2 linked regions of the Arabidopsis thaliana genome follow. The protein of the gene in region 1 binds, or shares a complex with, the protein of each later gene. Each region holds a gene or a part of one and is shown on either strand. Other genes may lie near its edges. The genes, in order: DPMS1 and DPMS2.

Region 1 (4,469 bases):
CTCTTGTTTGGTTTTACAGTGTTCTCTAAAGCATTAATGACAGAACCAAGAAAGGCGGCTTTCACCTGGATATCACAGAAAGACTATCCCAGAATCAAAGCTTACATGTTGAGCGTAAAATCAATCATCTCCTCACAGGTGGTACCGCTCCCCTTCCTCCAGTTCCACGCCCGGGCCCGGCAGCCGGCTTTAAGATAATATCACAAAGATTCAAGAATCTAACCATTAGTAGTGACAAAGAAGAAACAAACCATTAAGGGATAACAAGGATTTGAACATCTTAACAAGTTCCATAAAACTTCCTAACATTGCATTCATGAGCACTAAATCATAAGAGAGAGAGGGTGAACTTACTTTCCCTCGCATTGCACCTCTACCTCTGCCAACACCCAGTGATGAGCTCTTTCCCTACATTGATTAAGCAAGTAAGGTAAGATGTTTGTTGGAGATATGTATAGAGATCCTAATATCATTCTGCATCCAGGGTTCAAAAAGCATATATACCTTGATTCTAGCATCTAACCGCTTGAACATTGGAGCATGTTTGAGAATGTCTGGTATGACCATAAACCTGTCAAGATATATCCGCAGGTCAATTACTAAACAGCTAGGGTTAACAAGAATGATCCCATGAATTACATAAACAAGGAAACAAGTACAGCACCTGACTTTACTGCCTCGAATGAAGACATGCTCAAGCTGTGATACCTTACCATCCTGTAACACAGCATTGGAAAACCCAAAACAAAAGTTCAGTGACAATTAACAAACAAACCCATTAAGTTGACAGATTATTTATGTATACTATGAAGAATAACACTTAAAGAGTTAAGACTTTCTGAATTGAGAACTACATGTAGTTCTTTTCCCAATAATTACAGGTTGACTCAAAACCCATACGGCACAATAATCCGCAAATAAGAGGACGCTTTAAGACCTGCATACTTCAGATAATTCACATTTGACCACTGTATTCCTAAAGAGCAACTTAGGCTTTGGATAAAACGTTACAAAGCACAAACGTAGAACCTTTCTTCTCAGTTATTGATGTGTCCTATAGATCAATAATAAGTTTAACCAATCAGAGGAGACTATACCCTACAGTCAAAATTTATCTAATGTCACTGGCAGGATCACGCATTCTAGGGTTTTATACAGCATGAATTTCAAGGATTCTTAATCTCACTTAGAACTTAAAATAAGAAGCAATCTAAAATTTCCCAGCAAATTTGCCCAGCTCACCAAATCTAGGGTTTTAACAGCACTAACATCAAACAATGAAATTGAAACGAAACCTATGGTTCAAAAAACAGTCTCATATAAAATGAATCGAGATCTTCAGAGTATCAGTTGATTACCTTGGCGGTATAAGTAATATCCTCGAGCTGACAGTTCCAGTTATCCTCACACTCAATCATACTTCCTCTGTAAAGCTCGCCGCTCTTTAGCTCCACCGTCACGATATGACCTGAGGCCTCGTGAAGAAGCTTCACCGGTATTCCCAAACTTCGGCTCATCTTTCTCTCTACAAAACCCTAATTGAAAACCTTCTCCTTTAACTCTGCAACCTAGAAAGAAAAAAATGGCGGAAGGAAAGAAGAGCGACTCAGATGCGATTGACGAGTTTACCTCTTTTAAAGCTTTCCTGATTTATTTTTGGGCTTTATATAGGCCCATATTTATATTAGGCCCAATTTGAGAAACTTGCTTTTTAGTCCCTATATTTGACATTATTTTAATCCTTATTTTTGTACAGACGACGGCTGATTTCACGGGTTAAGACGAAGGAACCACCGTTACCAAAACTCGCCGGAAGAGATGGCGGACGAGATGGAGACCAAAGGAGAGAAGAAGTACAAGTATAGCATAATCATTCCTACCTACAACGAGCGCCTCAACATCGCTATCATAGTCTACCTGATTTTCAAGCATCTCCGGTAAATGAATATTTATTTCTTTTGGTCTTTTCACGTTCATTCTTTCATTTCAGAATCGGAATTACGTTTTTTGTTATTCTTTTACTGAATACTCGAACCTGATCGCCAATTTCAAGTTACGGATCTCGGAAATTTTCCGATCATGTTTCTGTAGATTGCAGATCCTAATTCGTGATTTGTTGTTTCTGTGCATGAGCTAGTAAAGGCCAATGTAGTGATCCCTCAAACTATATAGTAGTAGTTTCATGGTGTTTTAAAAACTTTGATTTAGTGATCGGAGAATAGTCAGAAGCTACATGTGCTAATCTTAGATCGATTCTGGTTATGGCTGCTTATATGAAATTAATATAGAATTGCACTTGTTAAGTAGACTCTTTGTTAACTGTTACTGAGAATTTGCTTCGCTACTTGTTTGTATGATTTAGGGACGTTGATTTTGAGATAATTGTTGTGGATGATGGGAGTCCTGATGGCACACAGGAAATTGTCAAGCAACTGCAGCAATTGTATGGTGAAGACCGTATCGTGAGTACAATGATGTGTTAAGACCTTAATTTGTAAATTATTGGGCGTTCTTCTGTTTAGGTGAAATCATGTTTTTATCTTTTTTATGATGCAGCTTTTAAGAGCTAGAGCCAAGAAGCTTGGTTTGGGTATGTAATTTGTATCTTCATTGTCTTCTAGTTTTGGTTAACAAGAAATGAAATTAATTTTCTTGGCATGGTCAATCTCAGGAACTGCATATATTCATGGTTTGAAGCATGCTACGGGTGATTTCGTCGTGATCATGGATGCTGATCTTTCACATCATGTAAGAGCCATTAATTTAGTTTTCTTGTTTACCTGTTTAATTGTTTAGCTAACCCAGTCACTTTTCTTCTGTGCAGCCAAAATACTTACCAAGTTTCATCAAGTAAGAAAAAGAAGAGTCTCTTGATCTCTTACTAGTTTCACAACCTATAGTGACTTCAACTGATTTGTTTTTTTTCTTATTATCATAAAGGAAACAACTAGAGACAAATGCAAGTATAGTAACTGGTACACGATATGTAAAAGGTGGTGGTGTACACGGGTGGAATCTTATGCGGAAACTCACTAGTAGAGGAGCAAATGTGCTAGCTCAAACACTTTTATGGCCTGGTGTATCTGATTTAACAGGATCATTCCGGTATAATTCAAATAACATATGCGCATATTTTTAACTGACATCATTTGATAGTATCATGTCTGACCTCCGCACCTCTTTGTTTGGAAGGCTATACAAGAAATCGGCGCTTGAAGACGTGATTAGCTCATGTGTGAGTAAAGGGTATGTCTTTCAGATGGAAATGATTGTTCGTGCAACCAGAAAAGGATACCATATTGAAGAGGTCTCTCTTTTTATACCAATTCACTGTGATTTTGATTCTTTCTAAACTATATTTCCATTCATATTCTTGATTCTCTGGTGCTCATCTTCATCTGCAGGTACCGATCACTTTTGTTGACAGAGTCTTTGGAACTTCGAAACTCGGAGGATCTGAAATAGTGGAATATCTAAAAGGCCTCGTCTATCTCCTGCTTACAACTTAAGACACACCAAGCAACTCAACAACACACGAGTCTCTCTTTATACTCTTCATTTGTTCCATTGCTTCATAGATTTCTCTTAACAGTTGAACTCTGATCATGTCGTTTAGAAACTTCACTTACTTTGACTTCAGAGAGTCGCATCTTTTAAGACTCAAAAGTTCATATTATAGACATTGTTGATTTTGAATGTTGAGTTGAGATATCTTACATTTCATAAATACCTTAACCAACCAACCAAAGAAGGTTTTATGTTTTAGATCGTTCGTAATGTGATAATCTTTGTCACTGCGACGGGCCTTTATAATTTGGGCCCATTTGAGACCTTTCTTCACTTGCTCTCACTCACTCTCTCTCAAATTCACCCACATCAAAGCTTCTCCGATTTCCCTCCGAACCAATTTGGTATGTGAAAATCAAATTCACAGTGATGTCTGAGTCGTTGCTTCGTATTGATCACGCCGGCTTAGACACCCTAATTCCGGGAATGATGTGCAGTCACAGAGTTTGGACACACTCAGAACTAGCTCCTCCTTCAGTGAGCGTGAATGAATCCCATCTGGTAATGCCACAAACACTACTCTTTTCAAATTCTTTTCGGCAAAGCAACTTAAACCCTTTTTCTCCGGAGGTTAATTAGGTGAAAGGTCTCTTACAAGCTTTGCAAGGTTTCTCTAGTCCCTTCATTTTCTGGGACCGAAAGGAACAAACTTTCCGCGCTAAAAGTGAGATACGAGTTTCTCATTTGTCTCAGTCAAGCCTTCATGTCCTTCTCGCTGGATTTTTGTATGCTGCTACATGTTTGAAGCTTGTGGAGTCTATTGTTAGTGGAATTAATGCCTCTCTTAAATCTCCTCCTACTTTAATGGCATTTTCGAACTCTGCCTCTGGTTGGCTTGAGGCAAGTAGTCCACAACTCCCTATTAGTTTTTTTATTTATTTATTTGGCTTGTTCTTGAATAT
Region 2 (6,205 bases), about 21 Mb from region 1:
AACTTATCCTAGTGGGTAACATTTAATAAATTTTGACAGTTTGAACTTATATATATTGAAGTATGTGTGAGTTTAGAAATTTTAATCGTGTGATTTGGTTAAAAAAACCATAAAATTAGATTACTTTATTTAAGTTAACTCGCGAGGGCAACAATTAGGTGAGCAGTTGTGACATCTAAGTTGACCGGTCCAGAGTAGTTTGACTTCGTGTCAGAGTTGGTAAGTTTATGATAATAGATAAAACTTTTGCATAATGTAAATCTAAAAATTACGTTACATACAATATATGGTGAATGTGACTTATGTAGCATTAAAAGATATATTTGCTTCTCCAGAGATTTAAAAGTGTTATTTAACTAAGTTTTAGACGACTAAAGAGAAGAAATTGGCATCATTTTGAAATGTTCAAAAAATTAAAGATATTTTACTAAAAAGAGGTTAACAAAATATACATGTATATGGTGGGGTCCAATGTGATTCATATGGACGGCACTAGTTGACTTACTTCGTGCTTTGACCAATGTTTTTTTTTTAAATCATTGTTAATCATTAAATCTCATCTTATTCGTTTCTTTTGTTTGTTATTTATTTTCCCGTTATAAATATTTTTCTCTTACCTTTTTTTTTTCTTCGTGATAAGAGTCAAATGCGTGTATTATTTTACCTTGATTAGTCTAAGTATTCAATTAATTTTGAATTGAATAGTATAACACTTCGTGATAGACCATTGATATTTTTTTGAATTAGAAAATTCAGAGGCTACTATTCTCTTCCATAAAGAGAACAATATAAAAAAGGAATTATAGTTAATTGCTAAAATGATATTTTGTGTCATTAGAAACAAAATCTGCAAAAAGTAGTATTACTCAGAAACAAATCAAACTTTCAAAGTTGTTGATAGATGATATGCAACAAGATTTAGGATAATCATCTAATATTTTTTATCTTAAAAATAGTCTACTTATATGTTTATCAACTACAGTCATATTTCTATAACTTCAATTTTATTACTTTAAAGATACAGTAGTAGCTTCAAGCTTCAACTAATCATAGTAGGAAGTTGAATCACTCTCTTCTGCCACATATGTTTCAAGCATCCATGTTGTGTCTTCTGACACTAGAATGCATAATGATCAAAATTCTAAAAAAATCAAAGTGGTACCAATTTTAAAGTTATTAACTTCCACCAGTTGAAAAGAAAAAACTAAAGGAAACCTCCGATAAAAAAACAATGGTCCATTCAACAACACTAAGGACGTGTGAATGGTATTGAGCCAACATTGTTCATGCCAAAACAACTAAGGCAAACAACTAAGGCGACCAAACAAAAGAAAATTTTGCTATGAAATTTAAAAGTCCATGCCACTTGAAAGCCACGTCGTTTGTGCGTTTTGGTTTTTCTCTGCGTACCCATTTGTTGTTTTGATGTTTCCATTGGTCAAATTCAACATTATCACCTAAAATAACTTGCACATGCACGACACCAAATTAAATAGCTTTGGATCCAATAAGAGAAAGTATATATTGTAGGTACTAATATATCCACTCGCTCTAATCCGACCCAAACCCGAGTTCTTGAACCTTGAAACCTTTTAAACAATTAGAGGTTTAGGGGGTACGTAAACTTAAAACGTAGCTCAATATTAGATATTATTGTATTCGTGGGGGAATGAATATAAGCAAAGCATGAAGCAACGCATTTTACATATAAGAAAGTGTCAATTGATAGGAAACTGATAAACAATTGAACAAGTAGATGATGTCGGTCCACCGCGTAGGAAGAGCTGATCACTCATGTTTCTATCTTAATTATCAAACTGAATTAACGAATTTATTAATTTAATCATTTATCATTTAATGATATTTTTGTCTATATTTTTTCTTGCGCTTTCATGGTAAATGAAACTGCCTCATTGTTGCGTACTAAATTACCTGTAAGTCTGTTATAAAAAAAATGTTTAAAACATAAATATTCTACAACTAAAGGTGTCAAAATGTAATTTATAGAAGTAAGCAATAGTTTATGTTATTTCATAAATAGTCCCTCCTTCCTTCCTATTCTCAAGTCACGAGTTCTTCTTCTCAATCTCGAGTAATTCACTGTGCAAAGCAAGAGCTTCTTCGATTTCTATCTCTCAGACCAATCGTGCTTTTCGCATCCCTGAACGTAAGTTTCCTTCCATTTCTGTGTTGATTTAAGCAAAGAGATTGATAAAAACCTGATTCGTCCCGTTTCATTGTAGAAACTTTGTACTGGCTTAGTCGGGATATAATCGCATAGGTTTTAGAATTAGGAATCGGAATTTTAACTTGATGTTTAGGAAACGGAACCTAGTTTTAGATTTGTTGCGCCGATGTTACATAGAAACCCTAATCCCACGGGGCTTATGGAGTCGCACAATCTCCACGTTTCCCAAATCGGCTCTGCTTGCAACAGATAATGCAGAAATGGCTAGTAAGGAAACTGGAATGTTTTCACTAGCTGGGGAATTAGCTTCTCTTGTAGAAGAATCTTCTTCTCATGTTGATGATGATAGCAAACCTAGAAGTCGTATGGAACTAAAACGATCTCTTGAACTCCGGTTGAAGAAAAGAGTCAAAGAGCAGTGCATCAATGGGAAGTTTAGTGATCTGTTGAAGAAGGTGATTGCAAGGCCTGAAACTCTCCGGGATGCTTATGATTGTATTAGGCTTAACTCCAATGTTTCTATAACAGAAAGAAATGGTAGTGTCGCGTTTGATTCTATTGCAGAAGAGCTCTCTAGTGGGGTGTTTGATGTTGCTTCAAATACGTTTTCGATTGTGGCTAGAGATAAAACAAAAGAGGTCCTTGTCTTGCCTAGTGTAGCTCTTAAAGTTGTCCAAGAGGCTATCAGAATAGTTCTTGAAGTTGTTTTCAGTCCTCATTTTTCTAAGATTTCACATAGTTGTCGAAGCGGAAGGGGACGTGCCTCTGCATTGAAGTACATCAACAACAATATTTCTCGTTCGGATTGGTGTTTCACTTTGAGCCTGAACAAAAAACTTGATGTTTCTGTTTTCGAGAACTTGCTCTCTGTAATGGAGGAAAAAGTAGAAGACAGCAGTTTAAGCATCTTACTCCGTTCTATGTTTGAAGCCCGGGTGCTCAATCTCGAGTTCGGAGGATTTCCCAAGGGCCATGGTCTTCCACAAGAAGGGGTGTTGTCCCGTGTATTAATGAACATATATCTTGATCGGTTTGATCATGAATTTTATAGAATCTCAATGAGGCATGAAGCCCTTGGTCTTGATTCAAAGACTGATGAAGATAGCCCAGGCTCAAAACTTCGTTCCTGGTTTAGGAGGCAAGCCGGAGAACAAGGTTTGAAAAGTACTACAGAGCAGGACGTTGCACTCAGAGTTTATTGCTGCAGATTTATGGATGAGATATATTTCTCTGTGTCTGGTCCCAAGAAAGTTGCAAGTGATATCAGATCTGAAGCTATAGGTTTCTTACGGAACTCACTGCATTTGGACATCACAGATGAGACAGACCCGTCACCATGTGAAGCGACCAGTGGGCTTCGTGTTTTGGGTACCTTGGTTAGGAAAAATGTTAGGGAGAGTCCCACTGTCAAAGCTGTTCACAAGTTAAAGGAGAAGGTTAGGCTCTTTGCATTGCAGAAAGAAGAGGCTTGGACCTTAGGTACAGTTAGAATTGGAAAGAAATGGTTAGGACATGGATTGAAGAAAGTCAAAGAGTCAGAAATCAAAGGTTTGGCGGATAGTAACTCTACCTTGAGTCAAATATCTTGCCACAGAAAGGCAGGCATGGAAACAGATCATTGGTATAAGATCTTGCTTAGAATATGGATGGAGGACGTGCTAAGAACCTCTGCAGATAGAAGCGAGGAGTTTGTCTTGTCCAAGCATGTTGTAGAACCTACTGTTCCTCAAGAACTAAGAGATGCGTTTTACAAGTTCCAAAACGCTGCTGCGGCATATGTTTCATCAGAGACGGCTAATCTGGAAGCGCTTTTGCCATGTCCACAATCTCATGATAGACCTGTTTTCTTTGGTGATGTTGTCGCTCCGACTAATGCTATAGGAAGGCGTCTTTATCGCTACGGATTAATAACAGCCAAGGGTTATGCTCGTTCAAATTCTATGCTTATTTTGCTAGATACTGCCCAAATAATTGATTGGTATTCAGGACTTGTTCGGCGATGGGTGATTTGGTATGAAGGCTGTAGTAATTTTGATGAGATAAAGGCTCTTATTGATAATCAGATCAGAATGTCATGCATCCGTACTTTGGCAGCAAAATATCGAATACATGAAAATGAAATAGAGAAACGCCTTGATTTGGAACTGAGCACTATTCCCTCTGCTGAAGATATAGAACAGGAAATACAACATGAGAAACTAGATTCTCCTGCTTTTGACAGGGATGAACATCTAACATACGGCCTTTCCAATAGTGGTTTGTGTTTATTGTCTTTAGCTCGATTAGTGAGCGAATCAAGGCCTTGCAATTGCTTCGTAATTGGTTGTTCGATGGCTGCACCTGCTGTTTATACTTTACATGCAATGGAGAGACAGAAGTTTCCAGGTTGGAAAACTGGATTTTCTGTTTGTATTCCTTCTAGCTTAAATGGAAGGAGAATAGGGCTGTGTAAGCAACACCTCAAAGATCTGTATATAGGTCAAATATCACTTCAAGCTGTTGATTTTGGAGCCTGGAGATGATTACTACTCTCCACGACAAGAGTCTTGCAAGTGTTTGATTCTTCCTAGGTCAACTCTGATTCGTTTTAGGCAGTTGTTGAGCTTTGTGTATCTGATGTCTAGCAAATCATATGTCCGGTGATTATCGTTCTTCAAATGTTTTAATTTCTAGAGGCCTTGTGCAGTAGCACAGTTTGCATACCCTCAGAACATAAAACCATGGCATTAGCTGGTCTAATGGGAAAAGTCTAGGTGAAATGGTCTCATTGACATTCACAATATAACTTCCTTCACTTTTGACTGTATCTTCCAATGCTTAGCTTCTTGAATTTTTCTGATTTTTTTCTCACAATTGATTTGCGGTGCTGCAGGTTTTGAACTTGACAAAATGGAATTAGCGGATCGAGCAGTCGGGCTTCTACTATCTTCAATCAGCTTGTCCATATTCACGTACTATACTTTTTGGGTCATCATCCTGGTAAGTGACAACATCTCCCCCAAGTTCCTTAAAAAGACATTGTCAGTTTGATGTACCAATGTCATCTAATGTTTAGGATATTACTAGGAAAAAGCTGACATAATAGAATTTTCGTTTTGTACAGCCATTTGTAGATAGTGATCACTTCATCCACAAGTACTTCTTACCCCAAGACTATGCCATTCTCGTACCTGTCTTTGCCGGCATAGCTCTTCTCTCTCTCATTTCCGTATTCATCGGCATGGTCATGCTCAAATCCAAAAAGAAGAAGGCTTAATTTCATTCAACTCTTGCCGTAAGACAAAGTTCTGTCCTTGTTTCTTAAGTTGTCCCTACATTGTTTTGGTCTTTCAGAGGTTTAGTCCGGAAACTTTAAATGGGTGTCGTTGAACCGTACGAGACTATATCTTATTGACTCTAAATACATACACATGTTAAGCTCAAATAAATTCTTGAGAGAATATATACTAATGATGATGGATTTTAGGCTCCCTGACAATTCAACTAAAAAACTATTTACAGAATATACGAATGATTTAGATGAATGATGCATTTCACGAATATATATATTTGTTTCTTATTTTGTCTTTTGTGTATTCTCCATATGGCAGTTACTGATCTATTTTCTTTTCTGGTTTCGTCTTTTTTAGAGAGAAAAATAAATAAAATTGACTGATAGGAATTCAGTTTGTTAGCAATATAAGCACCTTAAATCATAATTAGTGCTTTTGAAAGTTGAGAAACAGATATATTATGAAAAATATCAGTAGTAGTAGTCATCATAGGCTAAGAGCTGGCAAAGCATTAGAGACACAAGTGAGTTTTCTCTTTGCAATTATTCTATGTCTGTAATGAATTTTGGTTTTGACTTATCTTATGAAATTTAATCATAGTTTTAGCTTTTTCTAATCTCATTAGCACTACTTAGTGCTTATGGATAAATCATTTCAAGTCATCTTCGTACAATTAATAAAATCAATAGCCCATTCACTTGTACTGTACTAGAGACCAAAACTTAATACATACAACCAAAAATCA

What was found.
Region 2: DPMS1 (region 1) and DPMS2 share a complex: the UniProt entries of both Arabidopsis thaliana proteins name them as parts of the dolichol-phosphate mannose (DPM) synthase complex.

The regions. Positions count from the first base shown.
Region 1 is NC_003070.9:7,126,027-7,130,495, reverse strand, and holds DPMS1 (Nucleotide-diphospho-sugar transferases superfamily protein), read left to right. Parts: upstream 1-1,733; 5' UTR 1,734-1,818; coding exon 1,819-1,937; intron 1,938-2,362; coding exon 2,363-2,462; intron 2,463-2,556; coding exon 2,557-2,590; intron 2,591-2,671; coding exon 2,672-2,748; intron 2,749-2,824; coding exon 2,825-2,850; intron 2,851-2,940; coding exon 2,941-3,105; intron 3,106-3,192; coding exon 3,193-3,307; intron 3,308-3,404; coding exon 3,405-3,509; 3' UTR 3,510-3,749; downstream 3,750-4,469. Other genes in the region: AT1G20580 (Small nuclear ribonucleoprotein family protein), read right to left, coding at 125-187, 355-408, 505-571, 665-717, 1,359-1,517; AT1G20570 (Spc97 / Spc98 family of spindle pole body (SBP) component), read left to right, coding at 3,937-4,068, 4,147-4,407. UniProt on the Arabidopsis thaliana protein: Transfers mannose from GDP-mannose to dolichol monophosphate to form dolichol phosphate mannose (Dol-P-Man) which is the mannosyl donor in pathways leading to N-glycosylation, glycosyl phosphatidylinositol membrane anchoring, and O-mannosylation of proteins; catalytic subunit of the dolichol-phosphate mannose (DPM) synthase complex.
Region 2 is NC_003070.9:27,947,527-27,953,731, reverse strand, and holds DPMS2 (dolichol phosphate-mannose biosynthesis regulatory protein-like protein), read left to right. Parts: upstream 1-2,063; 5' UTR 2,064-2,167; intron 2,168-2,318; exon of another isoform or gene 2,319-2,448; coding exon of another isoform or gene 2,449-4,710; intron 4,711-4,713; exon of another isoform or gene 4,714-4,941; intron 4,942-5,060; 5' UTR 5,061-5,077; coding exon 5,078-5,167; intron 5,168-5,291; coding exon 5,292-5,444; 3' UTR 5,445-5,687; downstream 5,688-6,205. Other genes in the region: AT1G74350 (Intron maturase, type II family protein), read left to right, coding at 2,449-4,710. UniProt on the Arabidopsis thaliana protein: Regulates the biosynthesis of dolichol phosphate-mannose. Regulatory subunit of the dolichol-phosphate mannose (DPM) synthase complex; essential for the ER localization and stable expression of DPMS1.